4 linked regions of the Coturnix japonica genome follow. The protein of the gene in region 2 interacts with the protein of the main gene of each other region in a biochemical or structural test. Links are inferred from orthologs where the notes say so. Each region holds a gene or a part of one and is shown on either strand. Other genes may lie near its edges. The genes, in order: NUDC, PAFAH1B1, NDEL1 and DCX.

The links.
Region 1: the proteins of PAFAH1B1 (region 2) and NUDC form a complex in vitro, tested with the Homo sapiens proteins (3 studies listed by BioGRID). The link is inferred for Coturnix japonica from reciprocal best matches to the Homo sapiens genes PAFAH1B1 and NUDC.
Region 3: the proteins of PAFAH1B1 (region 2) and NDEL1 form a complex in vitro, tested with the Homo sapiens proteins (3 studies listed by BioGRID). The link is inferred for Coturnix japonica from reciprocal best matches to the Homo sapiens genes PAFAH1B1 and NDEL1.
Region 4: the proteins of PAFAH1B1 (region 2) and DCX form a complex in vitro, tested with the Homo sapiens proteins (2 studies listed by BioGRID). The link is inferred for Coturnix japonica from reciprocal best matches to the Homo sapiens genes PAFAH1B1 and DCX.

The regions. Positions count from the first base shown.
Region 1 is NC_029538.1:1,628,560-1,632,516, reverse strand, and holds part of NUDC (nuclear migration protein nudC), read right to left. Parts: intron 3,264-3,957; coding exon 3,060-3,263; intron 2,956-3,059; coding exon 2,872-2,955; intron 2,539-2,871; coding exon 2,425-2,538; intron 2,017-2,424; coding exon 1,822-2,016; intron 1,316-1,821; coding exon 1,232-1,315; intron 1,022-1,231; coding exon 903-1,021; intron 1-902. UniProt on the Homo sapiens protein: Plays a role in neurogenesis and neuronal migration. Necessary for correct formation of mitotic spindles and chromosome separation during mitosis. Necessary for cytokinesis and cell proliferation.
Region 2 is NC_029534.1:8,195,015-8,199,711, reverse strand, and holds part of PAFAH1B1 (platelet-activating factor acetylhydrolase IB subunit alpha), read right to left. Parts: intron 4,016-4,697; coding exon 3,931-4,015; intron 1,979-3,930; coding exon 1,904-1,978; intron 869-1,903; coding exon 662-868; intron 1-661. UniProt on the Homo sapiens protein: Regulatory subunit (beta subunit) of the cytosolic type I platelet-activating factor (PAF) acetylhydrolase (PAF-AH (I)), an enzyme that catalyzes the hydrolyze of the acetyl group at the sn-2 position of PAF and its analogs and participates in PAF inactivation.
Region 3 is NC_029533.1:1,495,818-1,501,086, reverse strand, and holds the start of NDEL1 (nuclear distribution protein nudE-like 1), read right to left. Parts: upstream 3,356-5,269; 5' UTR 3,328-3,355; coding exon 3,277-3,327; intron 1,970-3,276; coding exon 1,872-1,969; intron 482-1,871; coding exon 328-481; intron 1-327. UniProt on the Homo sapiens protein: Required for organization of the cellular microtubule array and microtubule anchoring at the centrosome. May regulate microtubule organization at least in part by targeting the microtubule severing protein KATNA1 to the centrosome.
Region 4 is NC_029519.1:12,490,346-12,495,690, reverse strand, and holds the start of DCX (neuronal migration protein doublecortin), read right to left. Parts: upstream 3,401-5,345; 5' UTR 3,157-3,400; intron 1,585-3,156; 5' UTR 1,558-1,584; coding exon 1,194-1,557; intron 1-1,193. UniProt on the Homo sapiens protein: Microtubule-associated protein required for initial steps of neuronal dispersion and cortex lamination during cerebral cortex development. May act by competing with the putative neuronal protein kinase DCLK1 in binding to a target protein.

The sequences.
Region 1 (3,957 bases), on a different chromosome or scaffold from region 2:
AGCAGCATCCTTGTTGAGCAGCCAGGAGGAACTCAACAGCAGAGATCAGAACCCACCTGGGTGTCACCCAGTCCACTTCAGTCTAAACTTCCTATCCATTCTTTACCAGCCAATCTGCACATGGGCCAAGCTTGCAGAGCACTGAACCAGTGGTCTCGCTGTGATATCCTTCATGTGCACTTTCCAGCAGGCAAAGACGACCTGCCATTCCACAACTCCTTCAGGCACTGAGGAAATCTGGTCTTTAAGAGTCTCACCCTACTCTAAACTCAGCACACCATTCAGAGCAAAGCTTCTGCCAGAACAGATAAGCTGAGGAAGGAGCCAGATGCAGAAGGAAGGTCTGCTACACCAATCCTCCCTCCAGCCCTGAGATGTGGGTTTGCACTTTCCAAGGAAGATGCCTGACTCAGAACTGCCTCCACGCCTCCCTGCCTGGCCTTGGGGGCTCCATGAGTAATTTCCCTGCCAAGGTGCGTTTGTGCCAAACAAGGCAATAAAGGCATAAAAGGACTATTGGCTTGGAGATAGCTGTCTGGTGACAGGTGTGTAAGGGAGATTATCTGGGCTACTGAGTAGAGGGAGATTAGAAAACAATCAAGACCATGTTAAAGTTCACTGGAGTCAGTACTTCTATGCTCAAACATGCTTTCTGGACTTGAAATCAGAAGATTAAGACAATACCAGAGCTGGACTATTCCCAGAACTTCCCATTATGTTATCTACCCCCATTGGCTTTTATAGATGCTGGTGGTTAGCCAACAATTCAATGACTTTGTAACTGTAGATTTGAACTCAGGTAGCACTGAAGGGCGACCTGATCCTCTATAACACCACTATATATTGGTGTGAAGGATGAAGAGGGGAAAGCCAGTACCCACAGATCAATTAGGTATACCCACTTTTTCAAAATGCCTTGCTTCTTCTGCTCATCAGATGTGGGAAGGCCCATGGATTTCTGTCGCTGATCATACATCATTTTCTCCACCATACTGCGAGTCTCACTGTCCAGGTCTGACAACTGAAACCAAGGAATTCCATCAGAATTGAAATCACACACACACATTATTCTGCTTGCACAGAACACGGGTATTCTGATGCACACAATGCTGTGTGCACTGGCTAGAGAAATATCAGACACTCTAACTTATCTCAGCTTTATTTAGTTGAAGTTTTGGGAGCACCTCTAAGATAGGAAGGCTTCGTTCATTCAAACAGAGGGAGTTCTTACCTTTGAGTTTTCTGGATTGATTTTCTTGGTGTTGATCTCTGGGTCTGTGGAGACTAGTTTGTTCCACCACTCCATCTTGTTGATCTGAGGGAACAAAGAAGCAAAAGTTATTTCTTTTTCCTGGACTTGCTCTTAGCATGCTGTGTCTGGAATTAAACTTTATTCTCTAAGCATCAGTACAATCTGAACGTGAATAAGGGGCACCACTTTCATTTCTAACCACTTCAGCTATCCAGAATGATAGAATCCTTAGGGTTAGAAGGGATCTTTAAAGGCCATCTGGTCCAACTCCCCTGCAATGAGCAGGGACACTTACAGCTCCATCAGTGCTCAGAGCCCTTCCAGCCTGACCTTGAGTGTCTGCAGGGATGGGGCATCACCACCTCTCTGGGCAACCTGTGACACTTTCTCACCTCCCTGCAGACAGGATCAAGTGGCAACACCCTGGCTTCCATAGCATCACTAACACTGCACCAAGGACAAGCATGATTCTTCTGTTCCAGCTTTATAAAGCCCTGTGTTTGGTGATTCTGATTTCACCAGGAAAGTGGCAGACAAGTCTCAGCCCTCCCCAATTAATGCTGCTTTACCTTCTCCAGGTGCACAGTGACTGTTTTACCATCTTCAATCAGCCAGGAACTCTCCTCCACCTTCACTTCATTGAAAAGTTCTCCATCAATAACAGGGGGATGACCTTTCAGGCCAACTCTGAGGCGCCGTCTCTGGATATCCACCACCACATCCTTCCCCTTCAGCCGAAAGTTCACCTTGAAAGGGATGGCCAGCTGGAACAGACAAAGGTCAGACATGAGGAGCAGAGCAATTAAGTCTCTCCTTGCCCTCTTGAGCTGCTGTTGTAAGACACTTTGCCTTTTGCCAGAGTAAGATACGATAATTCTCATTGGTCAAGCAAGAGGTGAAAGGATACAAGTGTAAATTTAGCAACTGGGTGGTCAATGTATCTTTAAGGAAGGGAAGCAGATTTTCATGTCCTGTTCTAACTTTGTTTGCCAACGCTTTGTAGAAAGTAGAGCTACCTACAGCTTCTGGGAATTTAATTTAATTACCAGGCTGTCCCTCAGCTACTGGAATGTTGTCATTAAGTAAAATTAACAACCTTCAGGATCACTGTTCTTACCAGCACATACTTTGTGGCTAAGATTCCTCAGATCCGTATATAAGGCAGTACTTACATCCAGCTCTGAAAGAGTCTGCGTCCATCTGTAATTTGGGAGGTCAGCTCCATTGCCAGAGTTGGGCTTAAGTTTTCCTTTATCATTCTCATCTTTATCGTCTTCATTTGTTTCCTAATCAGCCAATGTAAAAGGGAAAGGAAGTTTTTTCAAGTCTCCATATACCCTTCACAATTCCAGATTTTTATAAGAGTTTCGGGTTAGTTGAACATATGTGATATTTGCATAAATTTAACCCAAAATGAAAAGGTGTTTCTGTTAAAAGAAAATTATATTGAGAATTAAATATTGTTATGACCAGGACACAGTACAGAAGAGAAAATCAGTTTCAGTGCATCCTCTCAAAGAAAAGCAGGCAGGACATCCCCTAATATTTACAGGAGTTCACATGGTTATTCAGAAACATATTTCTCTCAGTCCAAAATGAAATCACTGGATGAGTCTTACCTGTTCATTAGAATCTGAAGCATCACCATCATCCTCTGAGGATTTCACTGGGACATTGTTAACCTCCTTTTGTGCCTCTTTCTTCTGTTTAAAAACAGAATTAACACATTAGGATAGCTGATACTTTTGTATTACTTGCTCATCTGACATACTTGCTGGTACCCTTGTGTGCCAAGCAAAGCTCTCACCTGATCTATTTCCAGCTGCAGCCTTTCTGCTTCTTCGTCTGTAAGTTCCTTAATCCTTGGCTCATTTGCTTCCTGTTTTGCTTCTTTGGCAAGCTTTGCAGCTCTCTCTGCCTTTTCCCGTCGTTCTGCCTCTTGACGAGCCTTCTTCTCCTTCCGCTCCTTCTGAGCCAGTTTGTTGTGATGGTTGAAGGAGTCTGTGATCAGCTGGAAGACAAGAACACACACCAAAGGGCTTAAAAAGAAATTACCTTTTTTTTTCTTTTCCAAACCCAAACGAAGCCAACTCACTATATAGCAAGGTATTTTTTGCTTTCTTGCTTTCTGTGCTATTCCAGCATTCCTAACCCATCTGACAGCTACTCCATACAACCAATGAAAGCTGGAAGAACGGAGACACTGGACCTAGTTTTTATACCTACTTCTGACCTGTCCCACAGCTGAGCTTTCCCCAGGCATATTAATGTCTGCATTACAAAACCTCTGCCATGAAGAGTTTCTATAGCTCCTGAAAACTTTGTTACCACTGCAACAGCAGAATCTAGCAGAAATCAATCGGTATCACAGTTTAACAGTGTCATGATTTAAAGGAGGAATATTTGAAAAGCTCATTTTACTGATGGTCAAGTCCCAGCGGAAATCTTTGCTTCACAACTAACTTCAACTTCTCATGTGGCTGTGAAAAGCAAACTCTCAAGTTCTCTGATACAAATGGTTGTGCTGCTCAAAGGGAAAGCTGAGTACACAGGCAGGAAGCCAGAACAACTGCCTGGTGCTCAATAATGCCAGAGAGCACCGTGCAAAGCAGCACGGATGAGAACTGCAGTCTGCTCCAGGAAACAACACAAACAGAATCTTAGAAAAGAAATCAGAGCGGAGAGAGCTCTCAGATGTAGGTATC
Region 2 (4,697 bases):
TGCATTTTCCCAAATAAGTTTTCAAAGCAACACAGATGGCAATTTCTCTTAAACAGTGACATTCAGAGAGCAACAAAATGCACAATTATATCTTTGCTTGGTGCTAAAATGAGAAACTACTTGCCTACTACAACAAATCTGTTCTTGTCACTGTATACTGCAATAAAGGTGTGTGAAGATTGTTTAGAATTACTGAAAGTCTCTCCTGAAAGTCATAGCAACCTCACGGGACCTGCACATGTCACTTAAAATAAATGGGAAGAACCATTTTTCAGTTAAGAATACAGCTGCATAACCACTCTACTCTAAGACTTAGATGACTTGAGGCCACTGTCTTCTTCCCTCTCATCTCTGTATGCTCCCTATGCCCTCTTACAGAGCAGTCAAAACGTATTCCCCCATTTATTGTTCCAGTCTCCGATCCACAGTAGCTTAAGTATTTCTTCACAAGTCACGGTAAAACATAATTGCAGATACTAACTGGATCAGTATAAAACCAAAATTCATATATTATACCAGAAATCACATTTGAAATAACTGTCCCTAATGAAGCTAAAGCAGAATCTGGAGCAATCTTTCATCACTACAACACACATCCACCATGAAATTCTAATGCTACATTCTTAGCAGCTTCCTTTAATTTTTTCCAGCAAGCACATACCTTTATTGTGGCATCCTCTGAAGCAGAAACCATTACACTGAAAACCGGATGGAAAATTACTCGAGTGACAGGACTCCTATGTCCACTCAAAGCATACTTCTCCGGAGGACGAGGAATCCACTCCTTAGGGTCTCGTTTCTGACCAAGAGGCCCACCTGATGTAAATTCTTCCTTAGCTTCATTCAGCTTCGATTCTAATTCCATTACCTAAGTTTATGGGTTTTAAAGAGACCAGTTATGTATAGCCTTACACCAAGACCTAAATCATCTATAGTCATTAGTACCACCAACAGGCTTCCAAATTCACAATGAAGCACAGACAGCAGAGATCCAAACCAGCTAACATCAAACTATAGAGCTAATATTTCGAAATAAATTAAAATTTAAAATAAAAAAAAAAATCAGACCTAAATCAAAGCACTTAATCTCCTCCAGCTTCCCAAACACTTCTGGCAAGAAAATAAAGTTCCACCAAAACATATCACCTAAATACTGTGCAAAGATGTACAAGCAACTGACTCAAAAGAGATAAGGTTTTTGTGTATGTTTCTTGCTTATCTGGCACTTCTGATGAACTATTGAGGGAGTTTTTGTTAATGAAAACATATCCTACTACTGCAATTTGTTCTTTTGTATCCCTGAGATGGTGTGCATGTTAACCAACAGCAGAGAAACTGAACACGTGATACAATCTTATGTAGACTGACCTCTATAGTAGATAGGCCATTATTGTTGGTACACTTTGATTTTTAAAGCTTTTAATACCCTCCAGACCCACTGAAGCATTACTAAAAAGAGTTTTGTACCATCCATTTGCAGAAGAATCACATGCTGTTGTGCACTGGAGTTAATGGCTTCTTCCCTTTAATGTAATGGCTAAAGACATCAGCAGCATGGGGTACTTCTGAGTTAAGCCTTCTGGAGACAGTTATTCAGTCTTTCCATTCACAAACTGCCTTAGGGCACATCTTTCCTTTTCTGCCTCATACAACCCATAAACTGAAGTAAATAAAGGTTCTTAAAAAACACTAGCACTAAGATGGACAAAGACTTTTTTTTTTTTTTTAACAACACGGACATGCCCATTCTCCCTACTCAAATCAACCAAATTAATCTTTGAGGTATTTTCTAAACCCTGCATTTGTCTGAGAAATAAAAAAAATGTAATATTCTGTTCACTGATGAATGTTCACTCTTGGTTATAACTTCTGATACAAGTAAATCTATCAGATCTCTACTTACCTTCTTTTGCAATCTTATAACTGATGTCCATTTTTTCTCCAGAAGCCCGGCATACTTCTTATCTAACTCTTCATTCTGGGTAGGAGCGTTTAAAGAAATCAGTAAGTTCTATGTCCAAAATGTCTCTACAAGTCTCTCCAAAAGCAACATGAACAGCTCATTTTACACAAAAATCAAACGCAAGACTACAACCAGTCTTACTAATAAAAGGGAACAACCATACTTAAATTTTAATAACTACTGTTTACACACAGGGAAAAAAAGAAACTTTTAAATAAATAAATATTAAAGATAATCAGTAATACAGGTTAACAATGAAAGATTCTGCAAAGACAATCCCAAAAACTAGGACCAGACATCAATATCTGAAAGCTTTTTACTCTTATGTGCTTCACGTATCTGAGGAAATTGTGTTCCATTTTGTTCTTTTTCCTCCTCCTGCACATACTGACAGCAAGGACTGAGGCATACAGGACTGGACATCAGTTTCTCCAAGAGCCTTGTTTTCCATATCCACCAACCAGAGCATCAGGAACTAGTGAACAACCTACATAGCTCAGACTGAGCTCACACAGTACTGTTAGCACAGCACCCTTCCTTCTCAGGGAAAGGCACCTTGTTTGAGAGCAGCAGCCAACATCCAGAGGACAATTTAGCCCAAACTAATTTAGAACTATTTCTGAAAATGTGGTAATAGTTAACTTCAAATAACTACCATAACACTGCACAGGAAAAGAAGATTTAATTAGGTTGATAGATACAAGCAAATAAGTGAACGGTACTAGGAATTTCAACGTTAAATATCCCAATTTGTAATCTCTACTTATTTATTGCATACTTAGAAGCAGACTTTGCTGCTATAAGATATTATACTTCAACAAAGGATTTGGGGGAAAGGACACCACAATAATTCTAACAAAGAGAAGGATCTAGTAAGGATCATCTTTGAGTTTACTACTCAAGGCAGCTATCTCCAGAGAAGCAAGCTGCAGTGAAATGCAAGCCTCTAGTAAACGACAAGTTTAAAATTTAAGCTGTAAGAAATGACTGGTCCATGTCACCAGAATCCCTCCAGCCTGACAGAGAACTGCTTACCAGAGCTGATCAGCTTCTGTTAACTGTTTAACCTTGCCCTCCTACTACATCATTAACCAACTAGTATGCATGCAACAGTCACAGGTAATGGTTTAACTACTTACCCAACTGCAGTCACAATACAGACAAGGTCTTTTCCAAATTCAACAAAACCTTTCACTCAAAGCCAGGTTACCTGGAACTGCTCAGGACACATCCACATACTTATTGAGTATTTCTAGGGACTGACTCTACAACATCTGAGCCTGTTTCACTGCTCAGTCAAAAGGTTTTGTTTTTTAAAGTTCCACACTAAAAATCAGATGGAATTTCTGTGTTTCAGTTTCAGCCCATTGGCTCTTGTTCTGTCACTGAGCAGAGCCTAGTTCTGTTTTATTTACACCATCTCACCAGGTATTTACAAACAACATAAGATCTCCCTTGAGCTTCCTCTTCTCTAGGCTAAACAGCCTCAACTCTTGCAGCCAGTACGGAAGATACTCTGTTCCTTTACTGATCTTCCTTGTCCTTTACTGGACTCACTTCAGTAACTCCATGTCTTTTTTTTATTTTTTAAATACAGACTTTATCATCTTCCTTATACCTTCACATTGCCTTTCATTAACTTTGCTTTCCAGCACCTTTCATCTTGAAGGATCTAGGCCCTCTCAGGGTCACCATGCAAAGGAGTGTTAGCCAGACAGAAAGTAAGATTAAGTCTATGCCTCAGTCATGAGAAGATAAAGAGTTTTACTCAAAACACTTTAAGTCATCTGCTAATTGTGTTCTAATTGTATGGTAAGACAATAAACTATGCATGTGTACCACCTCCAGTTCTATCCGCATGAGCCAATAGGTAGATAACAGGCATACATATTCACAACAGATGCAAATACCATAAAGTGATAAACTCTTTACTTAAAATACACACAACGAATTTTGTTTGAACTCACCACATCTAATTCAGCTTCCTTTTTAAAAACTGAATATGCCTCTTCATAGCCATTAGAGCGAAGGTAATCTGCTATTGCTCGATTTCTAAAAAACACAAAACCAAAAACAGTATCTTTAGCCTGTTAGTTCTGAATAAGAGTACACGGATTGATTCAGGGCTTTTTGTAATTCTGTTGTTTGAATTGTACCACCTCAGATCAATACCCAGGGTGACCAGGTTTCTTACAAGCCCAGGCAAACTCTAAGAATACACTTGGTAAACATATTGTTTCAAGACACAAATAGCAACACTCACTTCTTAGAATACATACTCCTTAGTTTAGATTTGAGAAAGTAAAAGGTTACTTTTTTTACTACCAAACATTGGAGTAGCATGAATATACCTATCAATCTGTATGACACAACCTACAGGAGACATAAGAAGTGATAACTACATGTACGTACTAGTCTGGGGCTTTGTCTCTGAAAGAAGACTGCATTGAGAACAGTCTGCTGTACTTAAGAGCATTCACTGAATTCCACGCTTCAGTAAAACTTGAACACACTGTTTAAAAGAACGAGCCCTAGCTTTGTTTTACAGAACAATATAGTAATTTTAATTAGATTACAGGAAACAATACTCCATATGACCAAAACATACAGTGCTTCCAATCTTACATTTTTGTTCAAAATACTCTTCACTGCGACCAAAAATTATTACTGAACTGATCTGTCTTGGATCTCTCCTTCAAGATAACATGAGTAGGTCTAAACCAAATGCATAACA
Region 3 (5,269 bases), on a different chromosome or scaffold from region 2:
AAGAAAGAGGACAACATGGTGGTCTGACAAAACATACTTGTGTTGTCCTCCCCGTTGCTATGCTGATGCTGCCTGTGTACATAACAAAGCCACCACTTGGCGAAGCCTGCAGAATATAAACAGAGGAGCACAAACTCAATGACAAGTGTCTAAGGTATGCTGCTGGCCTTATTTGGAGTACATGCCATGCTCAAGACTAGACCTTAAGCAGATGATTCCCTTTACTTCGTTTAGGTATCCAATAACCAAGAACAAGAACAGACAGCCTAAAATGAAAGCCGACACATATCTGAAGGAAGAATCAATATCATTACAGATTAGACCTACCTTTAATGTTTCCACTTCATATTTCAGCCTTTGGTTATCTGCTTGTAAATCTCTATTCCTCTGCTCAGCCTGCACCAGCTGTGCTTCCAACTCAGCTTCTAGTTCTCTGCTTCCCTCCTGAAATTCAGCCAGCTCTTCACGAGCTTCCTGGAAGCTGTAAGGAGATTTCATCAGTTCAAAATGCAGCTTCTCTCAAGCACAAAGTTCACCGCTCTATAGAAATAATTAGGTGAAAAAGCACCAAGAGTTTTAAAGTACTTAACCAGGGACCTCTACAGGGAAAGTAAAAACTGGGGGAAACAGAGAAACTGCATTGTTTACCTACAAATGGAAATTCAGCCCTTTATATCAAATAACTCTATTCAATACACATGCAAATACAACCTATATCAAGGCTATTTCCAGGATTCCTGCAAGTCTGACACTTGGTACCCCACTAGCCTTCACTCTAGCAGCCTTGAGAGAGTCACTAAGTAAAGCTTTTAACCTGCTTTAGGCAAAAACCAGCACAGAACAATAGTCACTGCATCTCAGCACTACCTGGAAATATAAGTTTGCTGGAAAGCATTAAGGTTTGGATCTCAGGGTTACTAAGTGCTTTGGTAGGAAGCCAGCATTTACCCACCTTATGCCACTGCAAGGTATTAAATTACTAGAAGCAGCAACTCCACATATTTCACTAATTACACTCTCATCTTTACCATACGTAATAGCTCAACTCTTTGCAACCAGCAGAGAAAACTGATGATATTTAGGAAGCTACATATTCATTGGCCTCAGAGAGACCTGACAGACTTTTCTCATACAGCTCAGGGATCTCAAATGCCCACCCTCTGTTCCCTACACCCAGAAAACAGACCCAAACAAAACAACAGCTTGCACACTGGGCTCCTTGGACTTGAGAGAGGTTTAGCTGGCTTTGCTTCTATTGCACACTAACATAGAGTGCAAGTAAAGCTCTCCAAAGGCAATGAGCAGGAAACCACCACTACTGACTCCCCTCCCCACAACAAACCACAAGCAGCACACAAGACAACAAGTTCTCTTGCCACTTTTTGTAACCAAAAAGCCTTCTGCTCCCCTTAAAAGATGGCAGAGGCAAACACAGGCAGAACTATGAGCTATAATGAATGTGCTTCAACATATTGCAGCCAGCTACCAAATAAGAAACTTCTCAGACCAAGTGCAAGAAGCCTGAGGGAACAGTAATGATACCAGGCAAACCCACAGGCAGTCTTCCTACTGCAAAACATCAAGCTAGTACTTAAGACAGCATTTTAATTATACAAACATACACATGATCATAGAAGAGCTCTTCTCCTGCTCTAACGTGCTCAGTCTTGAGTTCATGGCATAGTAACACTGAGAATGAAATACTCAGCCTGCACAAGGCTGGATCTAAAAGCTGCACCTAAAGCTGGAAATGGTGAGATTCATTTTAATACATCTAATGCTCATTTTGATTAAAGTCTAGCAGAGAAATAGATTAAGCTACATTCTCAGTCATCTAGAACCAAATCCACTCTGAAAATATCCAACAGTACCTTTGTTTGTACTTCAAGGAAAGCTCTTTCCAATAGGCAGTTTCCTCTTTTGGACTTGAGAAGGTTGGAATTTCCTCACTGTCCATGTTCAATATGACCTGTAGGATGCAGACATAAGAAAACGCTTAGTATGATGAGGCAGGCAGAGTAACCCCCCACTGCTGCTGTACTTCAAAGCTGTGGCCTGTCAGGAGCAAACAGACTTGAGACTGGCCTGCAGAATGTTAATGATTCCTAACAGCCACCTCTGAGCAAAGACCAGCTGCAACAAGTAACATCATGGTCTCCAACCTCTGGAAACGCTCATGCAGCAGCCTGAAAAAGAGACCACAAAATTGGGCTGTATCATTCACCGACCATGGAAACAGCAGTTAAAGCCACTGGCTCATTTAGGACCACCAGGGGTAATGATTTACAGCTATCACAGTTTCCACTTGGATTTGTAAAAGGTTTTTCCTACAGTGCATAGTACAAACACTGTTCACTATGACTGCACACGAGAGCACCCCACACACCAGACCTCAGATGTTACTGAAGATGACGATGAGGATGAAGCAGTGCTGGTGGTGGACCTGCACTCACTGCAGCACCCAGGGATACACTCAGCCAGGCCCAGCTCCCAGCCCCAGGCAGCTCCATTCCATTTCCAAGCTCCCTCTTACTCACAGGTAGCCATTTTTTTTCTTCCTCTCCAGAAAACACCATTTAAAATAGATCATAAATCTCCAGAAAAGAATAAGCTGAAACTCACTTCTGTTGCAGAGGCTTTAAACAATGTTTGTACCAAGCTCGTCACAGCAGATTAATCACTGCAGATGACCTAGAAGCCTTGACTTTCACATACTGACAGTCATCAATAGCCAATGCTGTCCCTCCAGGCCTGAAAGTGTCACACTGTCATGCTCTGCATCTCAGTGACCCACATTTGAGACACCCAGAAGTGGGACAATATGATGACAGCACTCCCATCAGAGGGCACAGCAGCCCATCCATTCTGGCTCACACCTAAAGCACAGCCAAACTGGCACACTGCTCTGCAGCTGCTACAACCCAGGGCATGAAACCAACCTTACCTGCAGGGTGCTCAGTACATCCAAAAACCCTCAGCTCTCTCTCTGTCTTTACTTAACTTACAGCTGTGCTGCAGTAGCACTCTGTGACGAACCAGGCCTTCATGCTGCCTGAGCCAACTGACCATGCCTCCTTTTCTACACGGCCCTGAGCTGAGAATAAAACAATAGGAGGCACCACCATTCCCCCCAGCACCACAGTCCTGCTGTATCTCTTCAGATGAAAATCTCTTGGGGTGTATGTGCTTCAGTTATTGCACCTGTTACCAAGGCAGTTTAATGACAACAGGAACAAATCAGCTGTGTTTACAGTGGATGCAGAGCCCATGAATCACCTCCTGAGCTGCCAGTGTCTCACAGGCTGATGCATTAAGGCAGGCAGACATCTGCTGTGGCTCAGGCACACGTCAAGCAGCTCCTGAACTGCTATGCAGATCTGTGGGTTGAGGAAGAGGTGAGCAGTTGATTACTGCTGCGTGCTGTCCATAACATCAGTCCCACACCAATCACATTGAAACCACCTCAGCAGAAGTCACAAGGCTCTTGGCTCTCAGCTGGCACTCTCAAGTCAGCCAGAATCACTTTTTCACCTCATTAAATGAAGCACCGCATTGAACAGGGTCAGCCCCACAGCTGTGTCTAAAGGTAAACAACCAAGGAACCACCCATCAAGCTGAATTCAGAGAAAAGTCAGTACGAGGAAGTGCCTTACATCATTTCCTAGAAGCAGCCACGATAACGTGTGTCTGGGTCCAAGACTCCTTCCTGTCTGCTTGCACAAGACACACCCTTGGAACCAACACCCTGCAAGCAGCAGCCAGCAGCCAGCAGTGCTGGGACCCCCATGTTCATCAGAGCCCCACTCTTCCTCCAAAGCCACCTCCCAGAGGGACAGAGCAGACCTGCCATAGGCAGTGCCCCAGCCTTGTCCATCTCATCATACAGCAACAGCTCACAGCTCCCCACGCTCCGTGTTTTCCATCACACCTAATGCTGCCACCACTGAGTTTTGATCCACCAACCTCACTACAGAAACACCTCCATCCGATGCTCATGCCAACATGCCAGCTAAGCACTCCTGCAGACAAGCTTTTACTGTCTGTCTTCTCTCCCATGCCTGGGGGACAAGAGAAAGATGAGAGCAGGCTCACATCATCCACAGCTGGTCAGAACCATAAATACTGCTTTGAGGGTTAGGAGACACAGACAGCTCCCAACCTGCACCTTTCCCTTCTGCCATCCGTTGCCCATAGTGGGGCAAAAAGCAGCTCCACAGCACTAAGAGAATCTAACACAACCCTGACCATGCGTGGGACAGTGGATGCCCACGGCATGCCAAGAGCTGGATACAAAGCGCCGTGCTGAGCGCACTGTTGGCTGCATTGGCTGCAGGCATTGTGCAGAGCTGAGCCCAGCACAAGCCCTTCCCATTCAGAAGCTCCTCTGTATACGTGGCATTTGCAGAATCGGGCCTTTGACAAACAACACTGGGGCTTTCAGGAGCAGACAAGACAATGCAGCAGCGTCTTCCAGGGAAAATGAGAGCAGGCTCATGTGGATGCCCACTCAGAATTCATTACAACACAGCTTAGCATTCACTCAGCACCCTGGGAAAACTCAGTTACACGGGCAGAACTCCAGATCCGAGCAGCTCTACAACAAGAGCTATGTTCAAAATGCGATGGCTCCTTTCAGGCGCCCATTACACAGTCAGTGGGACAGAGCGACTCTGCACCTAAATTGGAACAGTATTTCCACACTATGATTGCTCCTAAAAACTGGAGCTTGTAGGTTACAAACTTCACTAAGTCGTGTTTTGGTGTTCTTATTTACTTATTTATCTGATTGTGATCTGGCTTCCTGTTCCCAAAAGCATTCTTGCAAGTGGGTCACTCAGTACTTTCCAGATCTTAAGAGACTCAAAGCCTGAATCCAACACACAGCAGAACCAGCTAAACTAACAGGTCAGCAGCATTGCCCTCGAGTGCATCAGTGAATCTTGCAGCCAACTGATATTTTCATGGAGCCACCTCTCAGCTGAGCCATTAAAACACAAGCAGGAATTATAACAGAGAACCTTAGAACAAGCTCCCCTGGCTCCCCATGTGACTGGTGATAGCTTGGATCAAATGTCCCACCAGAACACTAAGCCTGAAACACAACACGATGCTCAAATGTGACAGGCCACAGTGCTGGCACCACCACAGCCACAGTTCTTTTTGCTGACCGACAGAGGTAATACAAATGTCAGCTGACCTTTGGAATGAACCAAATAACTGCCTGCAATGGGACTTGATAAGAGACCCTGTCAGAGTCACATCTGGCCTT
Region 4 (5,345 bases), on a different chromosome or scaffold from region 2:
AGCTCAAAGGAACAGGCGCACTGCCAGCCCCTCTAAAAACAGAGAAGCACCAAGCATCTCCTGTACACTCATGCCTTTTTTTCCATCCATCTTTTCCATGCCTTTTTCCTTCCATCTCATGAGATGCCCTCCCACACTTTCCCACAAAACTACCACAGCAGCCTGGCCCACAGCAGCACACAGTCTCTGTAGAAACACTCCTGAAATACATTTCCTTGCACACGCACACTCCATTTGGACATTCCAATATATCTACCTTCTATACATGCCCCACATGAACCCTACTCATACACAGCATGTGAACCCCCCCCTCCCCCCAACACTCCTTCCTTACACATCACTATGCAGGAATCCTCCAGCACCACCTCTTACACACAAAGCCCATCATCCCTCTACAACATTCTCTGAGTGTAATCCCTCCAACACACCCCCTGAGCACGAACTCGCTCTAGGAACCTTCCTTACAACTTCTTCTGCATATGTCTATGTATAAAAGCTCAAATTTCACCAAGTGAAACCCCTTTCAATGCTCCCTTTTCTTGTACACATGTTGATCTTTAATTGCCCCCCAAACACAATGCACAAGCTCCTGACACACCCCTCAACCCTTCTCAAATGCTGTCTGAGACACTAATATACCCCCTTAAACACACTCACTCCCCAATCCCAACGTTCCATAATCCCCTGCACATCTCAGCCGATGCTCCCATACACATTGTTCACGAGCCCTACACACTGCACACCCTTACTACACACTGTGCATAAATCCCTCCTACCCCCATCATACATTGTGCAGAAATCCTGTTACATACATACTGCACGAACCCACCACACATACAATCATAGCACTTTCTACTTTCATGCATCCAATCCCTGTGGGACCCTAGCCCAGTCCAGACAGACATAGGGATGCCCTCAGACAGCCCCTTGAGCCATGCATGCAGCCATGTCTAGTCCAGAGTAAGACACACCCCTCAAGCTCTGCATCTGCACTAGAGTGAGCATGCCGGCGGCACCCTGAGGGCTGCCACACTGCTCTGCATCTCTGTGCAAAGAAGAAGACAGGGCAAGTTCAGCACAGAGGGGCAGAAGCATCCCCATGCCTGCAGTAAATGTGACCTTAAGAACAGGGAAGTGGTGTAGCCCCCTTCCCACCCCGCCTCCTCACTGCACCAGCCAGCAATGGCAATTACCTTCCTCCAGCTCATCCATGCTTCCAATCTTCCGCGATCCATCAATGGTGTAAATGTAACGGACTCCCTGAGGCAGATTAATGTTGTCAGACAGGGACCGGGTCAGGTCAGCCAGGAGAGCATCAAAACTTCGGAAGCGGTCGGAAGACACAGCATATACAATTCCCTTGAAGTAGCGGTCCCCGTTGCGATAGAAACGAACTTTCTTGGCTTTCTTCTCAGAACTCAGGGTCTGTAGAGTACTGGTTCTGTAGAAGCTACAATGAGCGCTGTGAGTGGGGCTGGGCAACCCATTCATACGTGAGCCTCGCATGTTTCTGGACGCCTTGTCTCGTTCGTCAAAGTGTCCAAAATCAAGTTCCATAGTTTGGTGAACCCTAAAGATCTGAAGCTGAGCAGTAAGATGGGGAGAAAAGGAGTGTGAAAAGGACAGGTTAGAGCCAATCAGAGCCACAGTCCAGCAAGAAAAATGACACTAATGTGAGAGCTGCATCTGGAGCAGGCCAGATTTATTTGGGAAGCATCCCCTCCCCTGACCCAGATTTGTATTGATTCTGGGGACTGAGGGTAGGAGGGGTCCTCGCTGTGAAAGGGATCCAATTACTAGGGCCAGGGAACATATTGCTAGACAGCAGTCTGCTCCTGCACCTGGGAGTTTTCAAAGTGTAGTAAATGGGGACTTGAGGCCAAAGGGAGCTGCATCTCAGCCTCCAAAAACTCATCCAAACACCAGTTGGCAGTGAATTAAACCTCTGAGCCCTGTGAGGTTTCCTTTGGCAACAGAAAACAAGGAGATCCCAGTGAGTCAGCCCTTCAATCTGTCGAATCACGGAAGGAATCAGAGCATCTGAATATTTAACATTAGAATAAACTGGTATTTATGAAGGAATGGTCGCAGGGGACTAAGCAGTTTCTTTGTGACAGCCTGTTCAATAAGGGTTAACAATGAGATCCATCCCACCCCTCCCCCTATCCGCAGCCCCCTCCTAGCCCATCAATCAATTCCCAGGACCAGCCTACATCTCTAAGAAGAAATGACTGCAAAGAAAAATCTGTCATTGAAATGAGGCTTCTATGAGCTCTTTTCAGCAGCCTGAGCCTCCTCTGAATTGCATTTCTGCTCCCATTTAATGAGGAAGAGAAAATAAAGAAGCTATTTCAAACTCTTCCAATCCCACCCCCCCCTCCTGGTCTTAAGTGATTTAATTGCTGGAAGTGCCCCCTGCCCAAGGGACACACCGCCCCTGCCAGCTCACCTTTCATTGTTCTGAGCACAGGGGGGCTCCTAGCGCAAAGGAAGAGCTCAGAAAAGCAGACTTGAGCTGACAGACAGTAATCAGGAATTTCTGCATGGTCTTTATTTTATGCTTAAGAACAATCTCCCCCCCCCCCCCCCCCCTGCATTTCCCCCCCCCCCCCCCCTGCACCAAACCCCAACACAAAAGGAGTAGAAATCCCCCCAGTCCAGCTCTTTAATTCCCTCTGTAAACTAGGAACATGCAACTCACGTATGTTGCTTGCATGTTAACACAAGGCAGAAATAGGATTTACATCCCACACTTGGCAGCCAGGTACAAATCTAGGAAAAGCTGTTGCTATCAGTTCCCCACCCCTCACATTTGCCAGAACCGCTGCTTCGCTGTGTTTTACAATGTCACCGTGACCCGCACGGGAAAAATCATTGTCCTCAGCCTGCAGTAAAGCAGATGACAATGCAGGCAATCTGCAGAGAAACCCCAAGTTAGGAACGTTTTCTGCACAATGCCAGCTGGGGTATATTCAGTCGGGTGACATGTACTGAACAATGAAACATCCAAGCAACTTCGGGAATGAAACGGAGGATTCGGGGGTTTTGTTTAAAAATGAACTGCAGATGCTGTAAGGTACTAAAAGAAAGATTCCTCCTTCCATCTGACATCTGCTACTTTTCTGCATGCAAGTCACTCGAAAGAGCTCTACTCACCGGTTTTCAGCGCGCAGGGTGGAGATGCTGAGAGAAAGAAAACCAGGCTCGCTCTGCCTTTGTTGTCTGAGCTCCAAGCAAGAAATTCCTGCCAGGGTGGATGAGACGCCTCCTAGGTCCTAGTGCCTTGTTCGATCCCTTCATGGTAACTTTGCCTCAACGGCTTTTACTCTAATCATCATTCATCTTATTGTAGTCTTCTCTGTATCTGAGAGGGGAAAAAAAAGGGTGTGTTCATTCCAGCTCTGGATATGTTAATAGATGGTTAAGCAAAAAAAAGTTTAAAGGGGCAAGTTTGGGGCTTGTGTTCTGAAGGAAGTAAATTTCTCCTTGGCTTTAACTTCACCAAGAAAGCATCTGGCCCCACTGAAAATAGAGCATAATTAGACACACTAATTTTATAGGATTACAGTATGGGGAGGTCATGGCTACTAGCTTACTATGTCCTACAGTTGCTGGCACAAGGCTTTAGTGTACTAGTAAAGCAACTTAAGAAAAAGTTAACCAGTGGCACTGGGCCCAGTTCTGCTGCCGTACTGGTTTCACACGGCATTCATGGTTTATACTGGCAAGCTGGAAGGGACAATTGACTTGGTGGTTACATATGCAGTGCACTTGAATAATTTTTCTCTGTTAACACTGGACATAAGTCAAAACCAAAGCTCTGAATTCAAGTACCCAAGGGGTTCGGGATGGAGTCAATCAACACAAACCTAACCCAACAGATTCAATTTGGCTTAAATCCCAAACAAACAACAAAAAAAATTGGACTCAACTGCAGGAGAATTCAGCTGTTCCAAAATTGCACTAACCTCTTTCCCTGAGACAACAAAATCTTCCACCTGCTTTGTAAGAGAGATTTCCATCCCATATGTAGAGGAGCAGCACTGCAAACCCCACTCCTAACCCTGTTGGAGCTGATATTATCTTTATTTTAAATAAGGCTTGGAAATGGGAGGGTCTTCCCATGTGTAGAAAGAAATCTTTCCTAACAAAGCTCTGTCTGTTTCGAATGAAATTTTTTCTTCATTCTGGCACATTATGCATTTAAACAGGAAATATATATATATGTGTGTGTGTGTGTGTGTGTATAAAATAGTACTTATTCCAGCTTTGTCTGCCCTGTAGATGATTGGCCAGGCAGTGCTGACAAATCCACTCAAAGCACCTCTTCCCAGCAATTTTCACACATAACAGTTGTGAAAAAGTTTTCTTCTTCCCTGAAACCCTCTTTTCATTCATATAAGGTTCCCTCGCATCCTCTGCAAAAGCTGTCATCTGCTCCCTTTGTGCTTTGTGGAATCACTATAGAGGAAACCACAGACCTACTCTCCCTCCTCAAGAATTAGTACTCAAGAGGACCACAGCAAAGAGCAAGATCTGGGTGTGTTTCAGCCTCTGCATGTAGACACAGGCAGCAGGAGGCACTTCAAGGATTCTCCTTCTCATTCCCAAATTAGATATATAGACATTCATCACCGTGCGCTTAATCTGTCCACGATAAACAATTCTTCCCTATACTATATATGACACTGTACTAAGTTCTCATCTTTTTAAAATGCAAAGATATGAATTATTATACATGTGCTCAGCACAGTAACAGCAAAAACAGAGGAAAGGAAATAAAATTTAGTCTTCAGTGGTGCATGCCTAAGGCATTTGGATACTGGTTAGGGGCAATGGGGAAGGGTGATGTAAATTCACGCAGTCTGTGGAACTGCACAACTTATCTCCCAAGTTTGACTTCTATGGAGTTTATGAAGACAGCAAATAGTCTCAAACAGTATTAAAATACAGCTCTTCTTTCTAACCCTGAAACCTCATCCACCAATGAGAAAATGAAATGTGTATATATATGGACATGCTTGCTCAGGACTCTACCAGACACTTTTGAGCACGGGCAGGTGCTTTTAAAAGCATTCAGATTTAAGCTCATTTTACTCTGTCAAGAAACCAGGTTATTTGTTCCTGACTGAAGGATAAGGCTTCTACAGTCAGTGGTAACAATGTTCATCTTCGGTGTAACCCAGTTATTTGTATAAGGTGCCCAAATCGCGGGAAGTACAATTGTCCCCCTTTAATCCCGCCACGGGCAAGAAGAATCTCAGCAGCCAGGGCATCATTGGAGATGAAGAGCCCTGAGGCCAGATTGATGTGACGTTCCCAGTGGAATCACACCACATTTGTTT